Coturnix japonica: one gene and its partner. The protein of the gene in region 2 interacts with the protein of the main gene of each other region in a pairwise test. Links are inferred from orthologs where the notes say so. Each region holds a gene or a part of one and is shown on either strand. Other genes may lie near its edges.

Region 1 (3,752 bases), on a different chromosome or scaffold from region 2:
AAGAACTAGAAACAGTGAATTCAGAGCTAAGCAAGCTACTCCTCATTTAACAAAGCTGCTTTGAAGTAACTGTGGTCTTGATGACTTCTGACCAATGCTCTAATAATGTTGCACAGAAACCCAACATTTTTCAGTCTGCATAAAAAAACACCCCAAAACATAAACTAAAATCCAGCCGAGAACCAAAGCCTTAGAAGAACCAAGAATGGTTGTCAGGAGTCTTTTGCCCATTTCTCATTAATAAAACTAAAAATCTGACTGCTCCCTATTCTACAGATGGGTTACTCCAGGACACTGAAAAGAACAGGTTCTTAACATCACAAGAGGCACACAATGCGATTTCAAGCTGAGTTTTGTATAAATCCCCTCCCCATGCTGAATTGAAAGCATTGTTTAAATGAGTGTGTTTTCAGGCCAAGAAATGTTAGTGCTTGGGCAGGCCTGAGCACAGCCGTGTGTAGAGGAGCTTTGGGCTTCTGTCAGCAGCTGCTACTGAATGTGGAAAGGCTCCTCACTTTGGGCCAGTTTTTACTGGGTTGGAATCACTCCAGAGTTCTAAAGAGCAGAGTTATATTATTTCATGTCAAAGAAAGACATGACAACAGACTAATACAGATTCCATACAGAGAAACCACAGCAACTCTGGTGCTGAAGAACTGTACTGATTTCAGCTTGCAGGTAGCCAGCAGCAGCCTACCTCCTCCTCCCCTGACACAACAAATACCTCAGCATGTCAGCACAGGAGAGAAAAAAGAAACAAAAGGCAAGAAGGCAGCACAGTATTTTACTGTGCAAACAACTCTGTTGTGTGGTCTCCCATCCTTCCCAGATACATGTACTACTACAGCCATAAATTTGGCACGTTGAAAAGCTGATCTTCAAGAACGCATTGAGCTTCAATATACAGTGAGAGCAGTGAATACTTGCTTAGTGTTCTCGAAAGAAACACGTTACGTTCTTTTGGCCCACATTGGACTGTGACACACAACCACCCACAGAGGATGTATTCTAGAAAAAAAAAACAACTCCACCATCCCGAATGACCAGCAGGAAGGAAAATGTGACGACTGGAAAGAAGCGTTCAGTTTTCATTTGGCTACCCAGAGCTATTTGACCACGCCCCAGTTACGAGTCAAGCGAGGTCTGAAGTACAGCTTTCTACTTGGTTAGGAAAAGAAAGTGGAGAACAAATTGCCTCATTTACAAATAAGAAATTAGCACCTTCACTTCCTGCACTGTACTGAATGAAGGGCTCTTACATGCAGGAAAAAGGCTGGCTGTAAACATCTGACCTTTGCTCTGGTTCAAAAGGGAAGGTGCAGCAGAGGTGGGCAAGGAGTAAAACGTCAAGACCAGAAGAGTCGAGTAGCCAGACTGGCATGGAATGTAGCACGAAGTTCACAAGGGGCCTCCTTCCCCCTTCACAGACTCACCATTGGACAGTGCCTGCTGAAGCTCCGTGTCTGAGATCACTCCACTCCTGTCTTTATCAACCCTGGAGGAGGGGAGAAGAAGTGGCGTGCCTTGAGGTGCTGAAGTGAACAGAATTTAGCTACAACCCTCAGCATTTCCGTCCCTACCAAATAAATCAGTCACGGGCGTGGGGCAGCACAGGGCTTTGCTCACAGAGCCACCCCAGGCCCCGCTACCAAACCCTGCCATGTAATCCTAGCAGAATTACAACCTGCTTATCTTGCTCCTGACCATCAGTCAGCACGGAGCACATTCATTTGATATACAAAACGACATGAATCCTCCTCACAGCCATCGGGTATCTACTCTGGAATTCATCTACCCGTGATACAGCAATCAGGATCCAACCGTGAAGGTGACACAGCCCGGTCACTCAGTACAGCAAGGTGCTCCTGCCAAGCCTTCACACTGCAGGAATCCGCCATGACACCTGGAGTGCACGTTTGTGCTTTGTTAGTAGAAAAAGGAACAGATGCCTTATAAAAGTCCAAACATTAAGTCCATGTAACCAGAAGCTGAAGCTCGTGCTTCAGCTGATCATTCACCCTCTGTTCCCACAGATGCTCTTGAACATATTGAATGAAGATCCCAGAACTGCTGCATCAATCAGTGTGACAGAATTTCCCTTTCAGCCAGTTATTTACCCGCTGAAGGACTTTCATTCTGTGCCTGCCAGATTTCTCTAAAGCTCCTCGATGCTTATGGCTGAAAGCTTCTTTGGAAACTATCTGAACTACACCAACTGTAGCAGCCTTATCCATATCAATAAGCAATCCCCACACATACTTCCGTCAAGTTCCCAGATAAAGTGCTTTTACACAAGGGTGGTGGACAAATGTCACCTCTCTGAGTCACTGCTGTGTTCTGCCAGGCAGTTACTGTTACTCATTGCTGATCCAAACCTCGCACGGTTTGTGTTGGAAGGGCCCTCAGAGCCCACCCATCCCCACCCTGTGCCATGTGCAGGGCTGTCCCCAGCAGCTCAGCTGCCCAGGGCCCCATCCAACCTGGCCTTGAGCACCTCCAGGGATGGGGCACCTCCCCGATTCCCATTTGGCAGACGCCTTCAGGTCACCTCCTTGCCCTACCCCGCCTCCCCAAGCGCTCCTTGCAGCTCTCCCTTAGATTCCCGCTGCGGGGACACAGCCGCAGAGCTCGGCCGATGCCCGGGGCCCATTAGAGGCATCCAGCCTCCTCCCAAGGCCCGATCGCTCCCCGTGCCAGCTGTGCGGGCAGCCCCGAGCCCCCGCGGCCTCACCTCTGGAAGACGTTCCACAGGAAGGAGGGGTCGGGCAGCCCCATCCCGTGAGGCGCCGCCATCACGGCCGCCCCAGCTCCGACAGCGCGACTCTCCTTCCGCTTCCTGGGGCGGGGCGAGCGGGGCGGGGGTGATGTCAGCAGGCAGCGCCAAGCGGGGAAGCACCATGGCGACAAGAAGCCGGTGCTTCCTAAGGCCGTGCGGGCCCGGCCTGGAACCCGCGGCTTCCCTGGACTGTCTATGTAAAATCAGCTTTTACATAGAGTCATAAGGTTGGAAAGGACCTACAGGATCACCTAGTCCAGCCGCCCTCCCATTACCATACCTACAGCAAAGCACTAAACCATATCTCGTAGCTCCTCATCCAGATGCCTCTCGAACACTGACAGGGATGGTGACTCCACCACCTCCCTATGCAGCCATTCCAGTGTCTGACCACTGTCTGAGAGATAAAGCTCCTTCTTATATCCAATCTAAACCTCATCTGGTACAACTTGCGGCCATTTACTCGGGTCCTGTTTGTTGCCTGGCAGAAGAGGCCAAGCCCCTCCTCATCACAACCTCCCTTCAGGAAGTTATAGAGAGCAATAATGTCTCCCCTGAGCCTCCTCTTCTCCAGGCTGAACAATCCCAGCTCCCTCAGCCGCCCCTCATAAGGCCTGTGCTCCAGACCTTTCACTATGTAAAAGTTCATCCCCCCCCTCAGCCAAAACACAGCACACACAGCAGAACATGGCCATGGTCCAGCATTTTATTGAACAAGTGATGATTCGTGTGCTCTTTTTAGTGAATCCACAAAGACATATTGTACCTCATGCTGTTTTTAGCTATTTATTTATTCCCTCTACAGTCCCGTGGCCAGGAAGCTGGCTCCATAATTAAGGTTTTTGCCATAAACTATTTTACACCCAAGTAATTACATACACCAAGTTTAACGTGGGAGTGGAATGGGGACATTAATGTACACCCAATGCTGTGCCATGGGACGATGACTCTAGGACAGCAATATACACCCAGCACT
Region 2 (3,156 bases):
ATGTACTGGTAGTACACTTATTTCAGTTAGCCCTCCTTACTTAAAGTTATGAACAAGTCTTAAGCAGATCAGTTGTTTCACTGAGGGAAGAAATCCTCATAATAAAACAAGAAATTTGTGGTATGGTTATATACATTTTGCCAAGCAGATCAAATGAGATAGATTTTTCTAGCCTTCCATAATACAAAATCTTACATGTCTTCTGTTCACTGAAAAAATACCTCCAGCTCATTAGTTATCTTTTAATTAGTATCATTAATTCTTTCCAGGGTGGCTGAAGTATTCATTTCAATGAACAGTACAGTCATTTACAAACACATGCTGAATTTATGCATCTTGCCACAGGCACCTACCTTCATAGCATTCCTCAGCCTCTCTGCAAAGAATGCTGGTGTGTTCTTGAGGCATTTAACTGCAAGAAGAAACAGTATTACTGAAGTCACACACTCCTACCCAAACATAATCTCATGACTGTTTTTCAAGCTCAGTCCCATGCTTTAATTACCTAAACATAGAGATGGTATGATGCAGTTTCCATCCCTTCAGTTAGTCAGTGAAACAATTTTGTACCTTTTACCTCTAACAACAAGACTGTTGCTTCTGAAAAGGAAGTAGGGTATGGAGAGGCAATAGGAGGCTCGAAGAACAGAATTAAGTGTCATTAGTTCTTCCTAAATTTGAGAAATCCTAGGCCATGCATCTAGAAGGCATGGCAAATTCAAGACACACTCTAAGTTGGGATGAGTTGCTCTAAGATAGGAACACATCTATAACAGGAACTGCACCATTTATTCAAAGCCAGTTATGCATTTCTTTAGCCACGAATTTCACATGGATTCTTGAAAAATCCTTGATATGCTTATTAACAATGACCAATTTTCATGTTTCATTAGCAGAGTTCATTAGAACTCTTAGAGAAGAAGAGCCAAATCAAATGACTTTGATATTTATCTGTTCATCACTCATTAAAACTACAGTCTCTAAACTGATCCTATGTTGGGTTAACAGCCATGCAATCTGTGGCGTATTGCATGGACAGCAAACCATAACCAGCTTGTATATGACAGCACAAAAAGTATCAGAGCAAGACAGAACCAAAGGGATAAACCTAAATATACATTTCACAGCAAAATACATTCTATATAGGAAAAAAGTATTTTCTGAACAGCAAAATGTAGATGAGAGAGAACAGTTTAAAACACGCAGTTGTTAGATATGTACAACATCTCAGGAACAAATGACAGATGAAATGCACGTTTCTTGATTGTCATTAAAACAACACAATCACACACTAAGATGTTTGAAGATGTCAGGGTAAATTACCAGTTTACAATCCAGAAAGCTTTAAGAAAAGCAAAATTGAACATTTTCAATTAGAAAAACCTTGATTTTTTTTTGTGGAAAACAAGGTTAAAAGAACAAATGATGCTAGATACACATACACATGTATATATACATCTATATATACACACACATACACACATCACTAAACAAAACTGAAGTTCATTCAGTGGATATTAATGCAAGTTTATCCTCTAAAGGTTACTGATTTATTTGAAAGTTACAGTCCCAATGCTCAGTTTTCATCCACATAAAGATCTGCCATGTGACTGCAAAGCTCCATGAGGCCAAACAACTTATAAACTCCTATAGTTAAGTTTCTTTACTGAGCTAGTGTTCTGCAAACAAACTATACTTCAAGTTTGGCTTGCTAACATGAATACTTGTTGAGGTGAAAGATTCAGAATGCTGGAAAAGGGTCTGCTAATGTACTACAACAACAGAGCTAGGCTCAGCCTGGGTCATAGAAAACACCCTCACCATTAGAAAAGGGGCAACTTTATCAAGTAGACTATTGACTGCATAATGGCTATATAGTTCAGACATGCATAAGACAAGTGAAGGAGTGAAGTCCCACAAAATCATCTTTATTTTGCAATATTACGTTAGAAACTTCCATGAGAAAAAAATGCACAGCTTCACTGCAGTTGAGCCAAATGTTTTCTCCTATCTTACTCCCCCAGTGATAAACATTCCTATTGATTTCAACAGGAACTGAAGAAGCTGTGTTTTGTTGCTGTAGTTCATTTGTTTCTCATTTTCTCCTAGGTACATCCCTTTCCCTGACACTACCATAATATAAAACATCAAAAAAGAACACTTTGAGAAGCACAGCTAGATACCACAGTAAGTTCAAAACAGTACATGGAAATAGAAATGGAAATGTAAAGAAGTAACTTCACCTAAGAGACGAAGACAAAACTAAAGAGAAAGAGCCATGTGACTCTGTTTAGAATAAACCACCCTAAACAGAACCACTGCACAAGGACTCAAGGGCCTCTCATAGCTCTTAGTGGAAACCAGTGACCGCTATCTTAAAAAGTATCAAGGGTAAATCTGAGGTAGAACTTGGCCCTTCCCAAGTACCAGAAACACTTCTGAACTAAGATTTGAAGGAAATAGGGGGAAAAAAATAACCTCTCTGGAATCAAATTTAAGTTCTCCCTCTAATAAAAACTAGTTAGAGGTTTACAATTTCAATGCCTTTCGCTTTATTTCCAAAGCTGTCCCAAGTATCCTATTCTCACTCTCACAGTGGTGGGTAGAACATATAATCACTTCTTAAATCCAAGCCAAGTTAATAATTCTCTCTCCCCATTTTAGCATTCAAAGTTTAGCATGCAAGATTTAAATCAAGCAGCTTGCCTGAAGCTAAAGCCTCATCAGCCATTTTGAGGTGAATTAAGAGGCCTGCTTTACACATATGGCACGTACCTACTGCCAGCATGCCTTTCTCCAGGTCTCCAGACATTTCACGACAGATGCTTTTCTCTATATCCCGGTTACACATCCTCTGGTACTCACTGAAAACTGTCAACAGGAAAGAAAGGATTCAGGAGTCAGTCTCACAAAGAAATGGCAGTGGTGCATGATGTGTATTGCTTTATTTTGAAAGCACTTCTCAACTTGGTAATGCAGCAGATTCACAGAAGTCCTGAAATTTTAAAGATGATTTGAACCATTCTGCTCCATTTAAGTATCACCATGCTCCTCCCAGCTTGTCTAGTCCTGTGCTTATTTCTGAAGGGCTACAGGAAGAAATCGCTGTAAGGGGAACACCAAATTAAACAAATTCTCATTTCCCACTCCTTTATC

The links.
Region 1: the proteins of ANXA11 (region 2) and PDCD6 interact in binary tests that used the Homo sapiens proteins (3 or more experiments, as listed by UniProt). The link is inferred for Coturnix japonica from reciprocal best matches to the Homo sapiens genes ANXA11 and PDCD6.

Annotation. Positions count from the first base shown.
Region 1 is NC_029517.1:80,103,214-80,106,965, reverse strand, and holds the start of PDCD6 (programmed cell death protein 6), read right to left. Parts: upstream 2,863-3,752; 5' UTR 2,794-2,862; coding exon 2,732-2,793; intron 1,496-2,731; coding exon 1,434-1,495; intron 1-1,433. UniProt on the Homo sapiens protein: Calcium sensor that plays a key role in processes such as endoplasmic reticulum (ER)-Golgi vesicular transport, endosomal biogenesis or membrane repair.
Region 2 is NC_029521.1:4,212,986-4,216,141, forward strand, and holds part of ANXA11 (annexin A11), read right to left. Parts: intron 2,872-3,156; coding exon 2,776-2,871; intron 413-2,775; coding exon 354-412; intron 1-353. UniProt on the Homo sapiens protein: Binds specifically to calcyclin in a calcium-dependent manner. Required for midbody formation and completion of the terminal phase of cytokinesis.